Elephas maximus indicus: one gene and its partner. The protein of the gene in region 1 binds, or shares a complex with, the protein of each later gene. Links are inferred from orthologs where the notes say so. Each region holds a gene or a part of one and is shown in the gene's direction. Other genes may lie near its edges.

Evidence for each region. Proteins that work in one complex are often made in the same cells at the same time.
Region 2: the proteins of AAGAB (region 1) and AP1S3 are in contact, whole or in part, in a crystal structure (PDB 9DDT), measured with the Homo sapiens proteins. The link is inferred for Elephas maximus indicus from reciprocal best matches to the Homo sapiens genes AAGAB and AP1S3. Residues at the interface, in NP_078942.3 of Homo sapiens: Asn51, Lys52, Tyr53, Tyr54, Glu108, Val109, Met110, Ile111, Gln128, Ile132, Gly135, Phe136, Glu137, Asp151, Phe153, Pro154, Glu155, Arg161, Gln164, Ala165, Asn167, Ala168, Asn169, Val170, Met176; in NP_001034658.1 of Homo sapiens: Arg10, Gln11, Lys13, Arg15, Gln37, Leu40, Ser41, Arg61, Tyr62, Ala63, Ser64, His85, Val88, Asp92, Phe95, Val98, Glu100, Leu101, Asp102, Ile104, Phe105, Asn106.

What each region holds. Positions count from the first base shown.
Region 1 is NC_064831.1:57,335,345-57,342,705, reverse strand, and holds the start of AAGAB (alpha- and gamma-adaptin-binding protein p34), read left to right. Parts: upstream 1-4,434; 5' UTR 4,435-4,474; coding exon 4,475-4,736; intron 4,737-7,361. Other genes in the region: IQCH (IQ domain-containing protein H), read right to left, coding at 4,342-4,434. UniProt on the Homo sapiens protein: May be involved in endocytic recycling of growth factor receptors such as EGFR.
Region 2 is NC_064824.1:122,530,445-122,538,265, reverse strand, and holds the start of AP1S3 (AP-1 complex subunit sigma-3), read left to right. Parts: upstream 1-4,817; 5' UTR 4,818-4,937; coding exon 4,938-4,940; intron 4,941-7,821. UniProt on the Homo sapiens protein: Subunit of clathrin-associated adaptor protein complex 1 that plays a role in protein sorting in the late-Golgi/trans-Golgi network (TGN) and/or endosomes.

The sequences.
Region 1 (7,361 bases):
GCTAAGACCTGATAAAATAATCTAAAGTTCTCAATACAGTGCCGGACTCTCAAGAAATGTTGGCTATTTTAACTATCCCAGAACCAGTGCTGTTGAGTCGATTTTAGTGATGATTATTATGGAAACGCTGGTGGCATAGTGGTTAAGAGTTTGGCTGCTAACCAGAAGGTTGGCAGTTCAAATCTACCAGGCGCTCCTTGGAAAGCCTATGGGGCGGTTCTACTCTGTCCTATATGGTCACTATGAGTTAGAATCGACTTGAGGGCAACAGGTTTGGTGTTTTTTATTTTTTATTATCACTATAGAAAAACCACACTATTCTGGTTAGTTGAGGAAAGATCCATATAAAATCATAAAAAGCCTGAATTATAGGCTTGGGAGACTTGAAAGTGATAAGATATTAAGTAGTTAACAAAATGCTGCCTAGTAGAACTCTATGTAGAAATGGAAATCATATTTCCTGAATTATAAATGAAAATATGTAGTACTTTGATACACGATCTGACAGTAGAACAGAATATGCACCATCAGAACTATCCCAGAAATCTAAACATACAAGGAATATATTTTCAAAATGAGTCACACAAAGAGTTTATTTGTACACAATTTGCAGACATTTTCTCAAAGTATTGCTTTCACTATTAATTTGTACCATCTAAATAAAAAAATATTTTTTTAATTAAAAAAAGGTTTTTCTAAATAATGGTAAATGTTAGTCCAATTCCATTCATTTTTGAGCAGAACAGAAATGACTGGAGACTGAATTAAGGAGCAGATCATTATCCAGTCATCTAGTGTCTATGGGCCCACTCCTGAGCTAGGGATAATCAGATATTCAAAACCCAGCTTGTAATAGGGAGACAAGGCATACCTTGTTGGCCAAATAGCAACACCCATACGTAGAGTTCCAATTAAGAATGGAGTAATTCTGGCTAAAAAGGCAAGTTAAAATAAATTCTTCCTCATCTTCTAGGGACTTAAGAGTAAAAAGCAGCCTAAACTTGAAAAGACACAGAAATGTACCTACACAAAACTAAATAATACAAAAGGGCAAGAGGTCAGATCTACTAATTACGCATATTTATGTGTTTAACATTTATGAATGTTATACTTTACAAGACTCCTATGAGGAAGTTAATATTATCTCCATTTTATACATGAGGGAATCTGAGGTTTAAAGAGGTTAAGTAACCCATGCAAGGTAACACAGCTGGTTAATTGGTGGAACTATTCAAATCGAGGCAGTCTGATTCCAGAGCCTTCATGCTTAACCATTATGCTATCTCTCAGAATAAAGATGTATTAATAAGCATCTGATGTACAAAGTTAAGGAGCCCTAGTGGGAGAACGGTTAGGCACTTGGCTGCTAACCAAAAGGTTGGTGATTTGAACCCACCAGCCTTGGAAGCTCTATGGGGCTTTTCTATTCTGTCATATAGGGTTGGTTTTAGTCAGATCTACTTGATGGCACACAACAACAACATACACAAAGTTAAACCCAAATCAAACCCACTGCCGTCGAGTCAACCACAGTGGGTTTCCAAGGCTATAAATCTCTATAGAAGCAGACTGTCACATCTTTCTCCTGTGGAGCCACTGGTGGTTTTGAACTACTGACCTTTCAGTTGGCAGTGAATTGCTTTAACCATTGCGCCAACAGGGCTCCTTTTTAAAGTCAAAGGCTGGTGAAAATGTAGTGGAAAAGGCAGGCTTTAGCTATTTAGAGGACTGAAAAGGGGCAAGTGAAGACTTTCTTTTTATGCCAAGAATGATGGATTTAAAAAGTTTGAGAAGAATGCTTGTATTTTTTATGCATACGGGGTGACCCACATTACTCACAAACGGCAGGATAGTGTAACGGAGCTTTCTGCCTAGGGTCAATCTCCACCATTTATTAGCTGTGTTACCTTGAACAAATAACAACTCTGGTCAGTTTCCTTTTCATAACATGGGAATGATAATAATAGTACATAGCTGACAAGGTTGTTGTAGGGGTTAAAGGAGTTAAAATACAGTATTTACAGCACTTAAAATACTGCATGATACACGGTTTAAGTACTTTGTTAGCTTTGATTACTGCAATTTTCCTTTGAAATTATATTACAGTTTATATTTTACAATGCCATCTAAAGTAGTGGTTCTCAAACTTGAGTGTGCATCAGAATTATCTGAAGAGCATGTACAGATTCCTGGGTCCCACTCCCAGAGTTCCTGATTCCACAGGTCTGGGGTGGGGCCTGAGAATCTGCATTTCCCACAAGTTCCTAGCTGGTGTGGATGATACTGGTGCTGGAACCACATCTGGAGAACCACTGGTCTAAAGAGTTATTTAACTGAAACACAGACCTAATAAACCATATTAGGGTGAAGCAAGTGGAGATTTAAAGTACCTGTGATTTACAATTATTTGTATATATAAAGAATGCTGGTGACACAATAGTTAAGTGCTTGGCTCCTAACCAAAAGTCGGTGGTTCAAACCCACCCAGTGGCTTCACAGGAAAAAAGACTTGGCAATCTGCTCCCATAACAATTACAGCCTAGGAAACCCTATGGGCCATTTTACTCTGTCATGTAGGGCCCTTATGAGTCGAAATTGACTTGATGGCATACAACAACTTGTATATATACATTTGCCAGAAACAATTTGACTGCCTAGGTTAATGGTAAAGGAAGCCCGTTTTATAGCTTTGGAGAAATTGGGTCAATTTAGAGTAAGAAATGAGTCTAATCCAAGCTATGTATCCTACAGAAAAGGAAATTGAGGCCTACCCAGCTGCGGAGTGCCAGAGCCAGGGGTCTAACCTTAGTACTCTGACTCCCAAACAAGCACACTTTCCACTAGAACTACTGCTTGTTGTCAGCCTGCTTGAAGGAAATCAATTACAGCTCCAGGTAGAAGTGTAATCTGCCCCTTCTGAGAGTGATGCGGTATGCTCACAAAAACTCAGGATTCCTTGGGAGGGTAGGGGAAAGTCTTCCAATATTTTCTCATTATACACATTCTATGTATTACCAGAAAGAATTCTACACTGTATGCAGAGATCAGCCTCAATTAATCAGGCTAACACATAGGCTCTCTTTCTTTACATGGGCCTTCACTTTCCAAGTCCTGAGTAACCTTTTTACGTAAGTGGGGGCACTGAGCCACATGGACGTGACTATTCTTACTTAGCTCCTCTGTTGCATTTTACAATTCAGTGTCAACAGACATTGATTACTGTAATGTATCCTGGGCTGACCAAACAGCTCCCTCTGGATTCCATTCTGAAGTGAAAAGGCTTCTGGCTTTTCAGCTAGAGCACTCTTGTACACAATACCAAACCACAAGGGGAGCAGCCCTGGGAAATACAATTATCTCAAGGGAAGCTGTGAAACTGGCCTGCAGAAGGTCTGGAAGATTCTCCCCCAGATTCTTGTCTCTTTTTTAGAGATGTTCTAGGCCTGGAGGAATAGAGGAAACTAAAGAGAAAGTTAATTGTTCCTGTAGTCAACATGAAGTATACTTCATGGGGAAGAACTGGCTGTTTCTGGACAAGAGTTTCCATTAGTGTTTCAACTGTTTGGAGTCTGTAAAAATGGGGACCGGGTTTATAGGGGATGTTGGGTGAAAGAGAGGATGATAAGAGTGAGGTAAGAGAATTTGGGCATGATTCACAATCGGGAAGTCTATGAAATGGTTGAGTCCCAAGGCTCGTACTTTGGAAAAGGTGAATTTAGGAAAGTTTCTCCCAGATGGGAGGTAAGAGACCAAAATCCTGCCTGGAAGAACAAGTAAACCCGTTGAAGATCTGAGAATCCTGATAGAATGATCGTAGGCAAATCACTTCAAGCCTTATTCAAATGGAGCTAAATCTAAGAGTTAAAAATCGTTATGCATGTGGATGCATTTTAGAACTGGGATAGGTAAATGTGAAAAACGAACAAACAAACAATAAAATGCCTTAACCATTTCAGAAAATTCTGAAATTTGACGTCATGGCTTCAAATTTTTCAGAACATAATACTTGTAAACGGTGTCTCAGTGCAAGATGGATTTTTTTTTTTGCTGTAAACGTTCCGGGTGAGGTGATCTACAGTGTACGGCCTTGGGGTTTTACCAGGAGCAGAGTTTGTGGAACGCGACCTCCAGTGTATGGCACGGGGCTGAGGGGTGGTGCTGGGCTCCTGGACGAGGTCTGGGTGGGCATATTTGGGAGTTCTCTCAGGGGCTGAGGCCCTCGAGGACTGAAGGCAGTCTGGGAGCGGCGCCCCAAACGAGTGGACGCGCGCGAAGCGGCGCTGCTGGGCCTCGCTCCCAGGTGTCTTAGCTGGGCGGGGCCGGGAGAGGCCCATTTCCCACCTGGATTAAGATGGATCCAATGGGGTCGTAGTTTTCAGTCTCCTGAGCCATGGTCAGGGCCGGGGAGAGTAACCTCCCCCCCGGAGGCGCCATCTCCAGGCGCTGAAACCTTCGGCCAGGGGCGTGTGTCCCCATGGCAACGCTATGCGCGGCCCGGCCTATTCTACCGCGGGAGCGGAAGAGGGGAGCGAGGAAGGAGCCGGGGCGGCCTATCCGTTCCGAGATGGCGCCCTTCCTTGAGTGTCTCCCCCGCACGGCGGCGGCTGTGGTACAGCCCAAGGCGGAAGCGGCTCCTGGACGGAACCGGCTCCAGAGCGCAGCCATGGCCGCGGGCGTCCCCTGTGCGCTGGTCACCAGCTGCTCCTCCACCTTTACCGGGGACCGTCTGGTCCAACGTGAGTAGCGAGGCGGCTGGGCCGGCCTTCAACCCCTCAAGCCTCGGTGGGCAACAGGACCAGGGCCTCAACCTGGACCTTGTCGCCGCCGCAGGTCCTCGGCGGTGGCCTGAGGCTCTCCAGGTTCTTCTCAGTTTCTGTCGAGGTCCCTACCCACGCCCCCAGGTGTCAACCCTGTAACTCTTAAACTCATTGCTTTTCTGCCTGCCCGGTGCACTACTGCGTTACTTCCAGCATCTGTAAAGTGGGACTGATCCCTGCCCAGCCCACCTCACGGGCTGTTGGGAGGATTCAGTGAGATGAAGACCATAAAAGACGCTCTGGAAACTGTATTGAGCTACACGAGTATAAGGTGCAGAGACTGTTGATACAGTTGTGGCTTTTATTGCTGTCCCGGCTCCTGAGGTAGGGAGTATGTTTCCTCTGACTTTCGTGTGTGTTCAATTACTAGGTTAACCCTTGATGTATGCAAGACTTGTTCTTGTACTCTTTACTATGTGGTTAGTCCCTGCTTTGCCTTCTGAGGTTCTCCACCAATATTAGTTTTAGAGTATTTCTGAGCCTAGTCCCTTCGCCTCTGGACCCTCATATTGGTTGTCAGATTAAGTAAGTCTTAAACCCTAAGTGAAGAGACCATTGTGTTGGAGAGAGCACAGCACGGATCATAGGCTCAACTCTGCCGCTGAAGGGCCCTGTGAAGTTGGCTGTAACTCAAGACACCTTTTTCACATCCATGGCGTGGTGTCAGAGCACTGACTCTTAGCTGTATGATTGTGGGTAGGTCACTTAACCTCTGCCTTTCAGTCTTCTCATCTATAAAATGGGCACAATTAATCCATCATTTACAAGATTGTTGGGCTTCATTTAGACCTGGGTTCAATTTCCTGCCGCTTCACCTCCAGTGCAGCCACTGCCCATCTGTCCTGGAGGTTTAACGGGTTCCTGTGATGCTGAATAGGTTTCAGCGGAGCTTTCAGACTGAGACAGACTAGGAAGAAAGGCTTGGCAACCTACTTCCAAAAAATCAGCCAATGAAAGCCCCGTGAATCATAGCGGCCTGACCCCATTGTGCATGGGGAATTGATGGCATTTTTAACAACAGCAGTGTTGTTATTAAAGCATATTATCTCAGTGACCCTCAGTTTTCTAAACTTTAAAATGTACTTATTTAGCAGGGTTATCTGAAAGAAAGGTGAGGTGACATTTGGGAAAGCACTTTGTAAGCTGTATAAAGCATCCTACAATTTTATTTTTTTTTTACACCTACCAAATGTTAGAATCAGGCAGATGTCCCTCCAGCACAGATTTTCTATGACTTAGTTATCGTTTGTGATCACTTAGAATGTTCCTTGCTAGGGTAAAATTTTAATTATAGCACTTATTAAATGGCAACTAACTGCCATTTCCTTACCTCTTAGAAGTGCTCCTTCCCATTGTTTTTTTTTTAACGTAATGTTTCTTTGTAAAAGTAGTGGATTCTCATTAAGTACAATTTAGCATATGGAGAAAAGAAAATGTCATAGTCTCATCACCCAAACACAAACACTGCTAACATTTCAGTGCATTTCCTTCCAGTTTTTCTTCTAATGCATACTTGTTTTTAAATAATTCAAATTATATTTCATATGTAATTTTTATGCTGACTTTTTCACTTCATAAAATTAATTTCCATCACAAATTACATCTAGCAAACATGTCATACTTTGTTCAAGATTCTTAAGCCTCTTGGTATATTTAAATTTCCAAAAAATGTATATCCGTTTTAATTCTCATCACTGAACTATGAAAGTCCTTACGGCCAGCCTCAGAAACCTGTGCTAAGTATTCTGATGGCCATGGTGCTGTATATATCGTATGCTTTAAGGAGCAAAAATTTTTATTTCTTTTTGCTACTCATAGGCCTGGGACTCAGAGGCCTTATTTGCAGTATTCTAGGTGGATGTCTGCCATTATATAAAAGGGGCATTACTGATTTCCGTTGTAGGCTTTTAAAGGGAAATGAAGGCTCAGGAGCCTGAGGGACTTTTAGAAGGCTATCTATAACATGAGAGTAAGTCTCAGGGCCAGAACGCTTTCCACCTCACATATGATTTTAACTTTTATTCTGGAAATATTTATTAAGCACAGAGCTAGTCTCTTTGCCAGTTACTGCCGCTACAGTGTTGGCTAAGATACTATCCCTGTCCTCGAGAAGGATGTAGTGAAAACAGGTGTATGCTCCACTTGTGAAGATACTGAAACGTAGATACTTAAGTTTTAACATCTTACTCTGGTTCCCTAGAAGGAACTTTAGATGGAAAAGTTCCTGGAGACTTGTTCAGATTTAAAGTATATAATGCCAACTCAGCAACCATAAGCCATTCGGTTTCTACTGCTAAACATTTGGAGCAAAATTTGTTCTTTTAGTGAAATGTGGGAATTTGAAGATGTTATAATCATAGCAGGCATTTATATGCATATCCTTTTTTTTTTTTTTTTTTTACTGTTCTCAAGCATGTTTTTACATCATTTAATTTGGTACTTGTATCCCTATGAGGGGAGCCCTGGTGGTGCAGTGGTTAAGAGCTCTGCTGCTGACCAAAAGATCGACAGTTTGAATCTACCAGCTGTTCCTTGGAAACCCCG
Region 2 (7,821 bases), on another chromosome or scaffold:
CGCTCCGCTCTTGGCTCTTCTTGCTTGGTGGTAATGAGGTCCCTCTCCTCTCTGCTCACTTCTCTTTTTTGTATCTTAAAAGAGATTGACTCAAGGTACAACCTAACCCTTTAGATTGAGTCCTGACTCATTAAGATAACTGCCTCTAATCCCACCTCATTAACATCATAGAGGTTAGAATTTACAACACAAGGGAAAATTAAATCAGATCACAGAATGAAGGACGACCACATAATACGGGCAATCGTGGCCTGGCCAAGTTGACACACATTTTTAGGGGACACAATTCAATCCATAACAGATGGGAATGGGGAAGTCGATACATAAAGATGCAAGTTATTCCACTGAGACAAATATACCCACTTTCGTGTCCTGAGTGGGTCTGCCAGGTATGGGGCTTCAGGAAGGATCAGTTTGAGCCTTGGTGTTTTGCAACCTCTATATCTCCAACTCACATCTGTATAATGGGGATAAAAAATGACACGACAGTTGCTGTTGCGTCGATTCCAGTTCTCATGGCAGGCTCATGTGTGTCACAGTAGACCTGTGCTCCATGGGATTTTCAACAGCTGATATTTGGAAAGTAAATCTCCAGGGCTTTCTTCTGACGCACCTCTGGGTGGACCTGAACCACCAATCTTCTAGTTAGCAGTGAGGGTATTAACTGTTTGCCGCACCCAGATAAAGTGGGCAAACAGATTGTCTTGAGGTCCAGATAAAATAACCTATGTGAAGTATCCAGCCCATTGTAGGCCTCCTTGTTTTGGGTCAGGCAATTTCAAGGTGAGGTGTGAGCAGCTGGAGGGAAGAACATGGAGGTAAGACGCCCCAAGAGCTTCTCTGACCATCTCAGTAAGGCCAGGGGGAAAGCAAAGAATGCTAATAGATTTTAAGTAAACCTTCTCCTCTTCTCCACTAAAACCCTCCCATCAGGGGCCACACAGTGAGGGAACTTTCTCACGCTTTAATCCTCTTCTTAACCATCATGGTAAGAGCATTGAGATTTCTTTAGAGTTGAAACTCACCTTTAGTAATCCTCTGTCTCTTTCTCACCACGATTAGTAATAAAACCCTCAAAGCACAAAGTTGTGGTGCTTTTCAGAAGATCAGCAAGGTGGGTGGGACAAGGCTGGGCCCTGGTCTGAGGGAGCGGAGGCACTAAGTTAGGAAAACCCACCCGGGGGAGAATTCTGGAGTTCAGAAAGCCACTCTCCTATATTCACAATAATCTGTGGATCATCTTTCAGTAGGTGAAATCACCTCTCAGCCTGGGGCTTAACTGTCAGGTATTCTTTTTCCAACTCCCTCAGCGGATGCCACACCTCCAGGGGTGAAAGCTAAAAGGATTAAAATCGAGGACACGTGGAGGCAGTTGGGCTTTTGCAGAACTTTGAGGTTGAAAGATTTCACTTTCTTGGGGGCTTTTAGTGTACCTGCCAGCTTAACACAGGTGAGCCCCATTGCTTCTGGCTCCTGCCCTTCTCCTCACACACAACTCCAGCCACAGAGGCCTTCTTTGGGGTCCTTGGAGAAGGAACACTCTCCTTTTATGCTTCAGAGCACTGGTTTCTCACCTTAGGTGTCAAGTCGCCTCCTTAGGGAGCAACCTTCCCTGACCACCCAGCTACATATATGGAGCTTTCCGGTGTCTATTCCAGCAAGCTATGCTTCTTGGTACTCAATGGTACTTTGTAATTACTTATTTACTTGTTTATTAGTTATTGTCCCACAAAATACTATAAGCTCCAGGAGTAGGGCTGTTCCCAGATGTCTCCCCAACGTGCCTCCTGTAGTGCCTGGCACAGAGTTGCTGCTGTTGTGCCCGTCAAGTTTATTCAGACTCATAGTGACCCCACAGGACAGAGTAGAACTGCCCCATAGTGTGTCCAAGGCTGTAATCTTTATGGAAGCAGATTGCCTCATCTTTCTCGTGCTGAGTGGCTAGTGGGTTCAAACCTCTGACCTTTTGGTTAGCAGCTGGGTGTGTAAACCCTTTGCTACCACGGCTCCTCTTCTGACTCATAGAGACCCTATAGGACAGGGTAGAACTGCCCGTAGGGGTTCCTAGGATGAAATCTTGACCGGAGCAGATGGCCAGGATTTTCTGCCATGGAGCCGCTGGTGGTTTCAGACTGATCTTTGGGTTGCCAGCCAAGCATTTAACCATTGTGACACCAGGGCTCCTTTGGCACAGAGTAAGGGCTGATAAATATTTGTGGAACAGATGTGGGGTGGATCCACAGTCACCTGAGCTAGCCCGCAGTGCAGGTTAAGGAGCTTCAACAGACCCTTTGGGCAGGACTTTACAGATATTGGCCTCCAGGGACCAACCAGGCAGGGACTACCCAGCCTAACATTTTTAGGGTGGCGGATCTCTTCTGGTATTCGATAAAACTGACAGACTCTCTTGCCCCAAACAACATAACATTACTCCAAAACTCTGTTTACAGCTTGGGAGTTCGGAGACTCCTAGAGCCCCAGGTAAAAACCCCATGACTTAAGAAAAATCTAGAGGACAAGCAGAAGAGTTGCAGAAGCAAGCCTCCATTCCAAAACATCTTAGGTGGGACCTCTTAAAGTGTTGTTGTTGTTGTTAGGTGCCGTTGTGTCAGTTCCGACTCACAGCGACTCTACGTACCACAGAACCAAACACTGCCTGGTTCTGCACCATGCCCACAGTCGTTGCTAAGCCTGAGCCCATTGTTGCAGCCACTGTGTCAATCCATCTCGTTGAGGGTCTTCCTCTTTTCCCCTGACTCTCTACTTTACCAAGCATGATGTCCTTCTCCTGGGACTGATCCCTCTGGACAACATGTCCAAAGTATGTAAGATGCAGCCTCGCCATTCTTGCATCTAAGGAGCATTCTGGTTGTACTTCTTCCAAGACAGATTTGTTCGTTCTTTTGGCAGTCCACTGTATATTCAATATTCTTCGCCAGCACAATTCAAAGGTGTCAATTCTTCTTTGGTCTTCCTTACTCATCGCCCAGCTTTTGCGTGCATATGATGCGATTGAAGATACCATGGCTTGGGTCAGGTGCACCTTAGTCTTTAAGGTGACAGCTTTGCTTTTCAACACTTTAAAGAGGTCCTTTGCAGATTCACCCAATGCAGTGCGTCTTTTGATTTCTTGACTGCTGCTTCCCTGGGTGTTGATTGTGGATCCAAGTAAAACGAAATCCTTGACAACCTCAATCTTTTCTTTGTTTATCATGATGTTGCTAGTTGTGTCCAGTTGTGAGGATTTTCATTTTCTTTATGCTGAGGTGTAATCCATACTGAAGACTGTGGTTTTGATCTTCATCAGTAAATGCTTCAAGTCCTCTTCACTTTCAGCAAGTAAGGCTGTGTTATTTGCATAATGCAGGTTGTTAATGAGTCTTCTTCCAATTCTGATTCTCCATTCTTCTTCATATAGTCCAGCTTCTCGGATTATTTGCGCAGTATACAGGTTGAATAGGTATGGTGAAAGGATACAACCCTGACACACACCTTTCCTGAGTTTAAACCACTCAATATACTCTTATTCTGTTCAAACAACTGCCTCCTGATCTATGTAAAGATTCCTCATGAGCACAATTAAATGTTCTGGAATTCCCGTTCTTCTCAATCTTATTCATAATTTCTATATCGAAACCCTGGTGATGTAGTGTTTTTGTTTAAGAGCTATGTCTGCTAACCAAAAGGTCAGCAGTTTGAATCCACCAGGTGCTCCTTGGAAGCTCTATGGGGCAGTTCTTGAAATGGGCCCTGTTTAAAATGACCTATGTCCTTGGATTGCAAATTTTATTAAAAAGAAAAGAAAAAAAAAAGATGAAATGAGGGTGGGGTAGAAATTGTTTCTAGTTCACTCTGACAGTTGCTCCCTCCCTCCCTCCTTCCCTCTGCTTTTTTTTTTTTCTTTTTTTTTTTTAGTGTTAGGCAGCCTCTGATACTTTCTTAAGAGTAAGAGAAATGTCTTGGTAAATCTTTGTGGAATGAATGAATGACACTCGCGGTGTAGAATGAGAAAAGCAGCCGCCTAGGGCGCTTCCCCTTAGGGGCTTCCTAGTTCTCTCGCTTGTCTGGGCCTCCAGAGTGGCTGCAGAGGAGGCCTGGCTGCAGAAGCAGGGAACAGGTGCATCCTCACCTGCTGCAGCCGGTGCAGGGCTGGGCAGAGAGAGCTGGGGGGGGAGAGGGGGGAGGGGGAGAGGTGGGGGGTGAGGACGGAGAAGGGAGGAGGACGGGAAGAGGAGGACTCTGGCAGGCGGGAGAGGAGGAAGAGGCAGGGAGGAGGGAAAGGGGAGGTGGGAGGGAGGCCAGGAAAAAAAGAAGGGACCGAGGAGTTCTACAGAGGCTTTTGACAGGGACAGATTACCCACTAAAACAAGGTAAGCATGGGATAATTAGTGCTTACTTACTAATCTGTAGTGACCGATTTCACATGGGTTTCACCACACCTTTGTATTTATTTTCTAATTTGTAGTGAATTTCACATAGGTTTCATCACATCAAAGATGAAACCGGCGGTGAAATCGGTCACTCCCAGTACCCCGTGCCGTCGAGTCGATTCCGACTCACAGCGACCCTATAGGACACTACCCAGGACACTACCGATTAGTAAATAAGCACAGGCAGACCCGTGCTTACCTTGCTCCCTGGGTAATTCGCCAGGGGGAGAGAGGGAGGAGGCAGGAGAAGAGAGAGAGGAGGGGGAGAAGGGAAAAGAAGAAGCGGGGAGGAAGAGGAAGGGAGGAGGGGGGAGGAAGAGAAATGGGAGGGGCGGGAGGGCGGGAGCCGCGGGGAGGAGCCGGCGAACTTTCCGTCCGAGGGCATTGTGGGAAGCGGCCATGGTCTGAGGCCGGCGCTCACCTGCCTGCCGCGCCGCCTCCCGCGCTCCGCTTTCGCGCTCGCGTCCCAGCGCTCGCCGCTCGCCGGGTGGGCGCGGCCCGGCCACCATGGTGAGTGCGGCGAGCGGGCTGGCGGGCAGCTGCAGCCCGGGCCGGGGAGTGGGCGCCCACGGGAGGCACCTGCGGCGCGCGGCGGGGTGGGGCGCGGAGGGCGCCCCGCCCCGGCTCGGCACCCCGGGACGCGCGCACCCCCTAAGGTGCCGGCGCGCGGGAGCACGAGGGGCGCCTGCCCGGGTCCCGGGGACACCCGGCGCCGCGGCTTCATTCATTCAGTCAGTGGTCGCTGAGCGCACAGTCTGTGCCAGGCAGTTTCAGGCGCTGGGATGTTGCGGTGGCCCCGGTGGAACCCTTGCTGCCCTGGACCTTACACCTTAGGAGGAAGGTGTGGAGGGAGGGAGACCTGTAAACATGAAAGTGAAATAAAGATAACTTTCGAAAGTTAAGAGTGCCCTGAAGTCTCAGATACCTCGGGGTGATGGGATGGAGGAGTAGAGAGGCAACTCTTAGAGATTGGAAATTCAGGAAGGGCTTCTTTGAGGAGGTGACATTTGAGCTGTCGGAGGGAAGTCGGAGAGGGGTGCTGCAGGTCGAGGGAAGGGCTAGCCTGAGAGAGAGGAGCATGCAGGGGCAGAGGTAGGCAGGGACCGGATTATGAAGGACCTCCTCAGTGTGGATAAACAATTGGGTTTTATTCCAACTGGGTGGGGAGCCTTGGGAGGATTTTAGCCTGAGAACTGACCTTATTTGTTCTATACCCTAAAAAGATCCCTTTGGTTGCTGGTGAGGTGTGTTGTGTGGGGGGTGGTGGGAATCAAGGTGGAAGCTGGAAGAATGGTCCCACTTCCCTCAGGTGAGCTCACTTCCTAAATGCCAGGAACAGAAGTGACTTGCACTCTGTGGCCCACAACATGCAGAGGCAGGTGGACCATATGAGTTATGAGTGGATGGGCAGGGAAAATGGTGACGTGCTGGACACCTGGACAAGAAGACCACAGGAGGTGGCTTCTAGGTGAGCCTTGGCTAGGCACCACTGTTTGCTGAGGGTTCCTTGTAAATGCAGCATGAGGCAAAAAGGAGGCTGTAAATAATGGAGCAGCTCTCTTGGCTTGCTCACGTTTCCCAGGGAACAAGATGATGGTGTGCCCAGGTGTGCCCAGCTCTCCAGTGTCATTTGCAGAGTGGAAGGTGGAAAAAGGCCATGAGTTTCTGAGTTGGCAGAAGGCTGCTTTCATTCTGTGGGCACCAAGCTTGAAACAGCAGCTGGTGTGGAGTCTTTTTTTTCTCACTGGTGTCATGAATCAGTTGATCAGAAATGTGCGAAGTTTCTTTTGCTTTTCCGTTCGGCCTAGCTGAACGGGAGGTTTTAATGTTATCGAGCGCTTGTGGTAAATCAAAAGGATGCTCAGCTCTTTCATGTTCATTACTTCATTCAACCCTTGCAACATCTAGATGAGGTCGGGTATTGTTCTCCCTGCGTTTTGCCTGCACTGACCTGTTCTAGCAGGATGACCTTGGACAGTTCCTGGAACTGTCCATACCTCAGTTTGCCCATTTGTAAAATGGAGATGAGAATTGTTCCTGACTCGTAAGGCAGCGGTTCTCAAAGTGTGGGCTGGGGACTCCTAGGAATCCTTGAGACCATTCAGGAAGTCCCCAATATTAAAACTATTTTCATAGTAGTGCCAAGACGTTATTGCCTCTTTGACTTTTATTTTCACCTCAGTGTACTGAGTGCACTGAGTTTTCATGAGGCCGGGAGACCTGGGATAGCACAACAGATTGAATGCAGAAGCCAATAGGACAATCCGTCTTCTACCTAGCCAGACATTGAAGAGATATGCAACAATGTCAGTGCCCTGCTTGTCGCTATTATTTTGTGTGTGTGTGTTTGCTTTGGAAACGTAGTGTTCATAAAAATGTTATTTATGTTCATGTGTAGTAGATTATTTAGAAATAGTGCATATTTTTTAAATTTTGTCCATTTTAATTTTTAGTACACTAAATATCAATGACTATAACCCACATAAACAAAAGGACTTTGGTGTCCTCAGTTTTGAAGAGTGTAAAGGAGTCCAGAGGAGCCCTGGTGGTGCAATGGTCAAAGCTCTCAGCTGCTAACCAAAAAGTCTGTGGTTCAAACCCACCAGCTGCTCTGTGGGAGAAAGATGTGGTAGTCTGCTTCTGTAAAGATTATTGTCTTGGAAACCCTATGGGGCAGTTCTACCTTGCCCTATAGAGGCACCCTGAGCTGGAATTGACTAGATGGCACACAACAACACAGGAGCCCAGAATGTTTGAGAATCACTGTTATGGAGTTCTAACAGGTTGTGTGAGCTAATACATGTGAGAGTGCTTAGAGCAGCTTTGCCTCTTTTAAGTGCCCAGTTTTACCACCTGTCCTCTTTATTTCTGTCATGGGGTAGAAGGAATATGAGGCCTACCTGCTTGCCCGGCAACTCAAGGATCTTTGGTGAGGGCTGGTTAGTGACTCCCCGTCTTTTCTTCGCTGTGTTCCTGACTCTTGCCAACTCTTACCCTAGAAAACTGGAAACATGGGTACGACGTTTCACATGGTGCTCTGCATACAGGGTGGAGTTCGTGATTTCCTTGTGTCCCTGATCCAGGTGTCTAGCCCGATTTCATACCTGGTATATCTCGGGGCAGTGCTTGTATCTGCATGGTAGTTTGAATGAGCTGTGTACGTCTCCGTCCTGCCTTTGTTTTAGAAATCTCTGTCTTGGAAAGCAACTCTTCGGGTTGTTGTGCTTCAGGGATGCCCACTGCTCTGAGCCCAGTGTGCTTAAATGCTTACTGGAAGAATTTACTATTAAGTGGTTGACAATGTTGATGGAAGATGGAGGGTGGGCTTCCTCCCCCCTCCCCAGAAGATACCTCTGAGGACTTACAGGATGAATTTTGAAAGGCTTTGGGG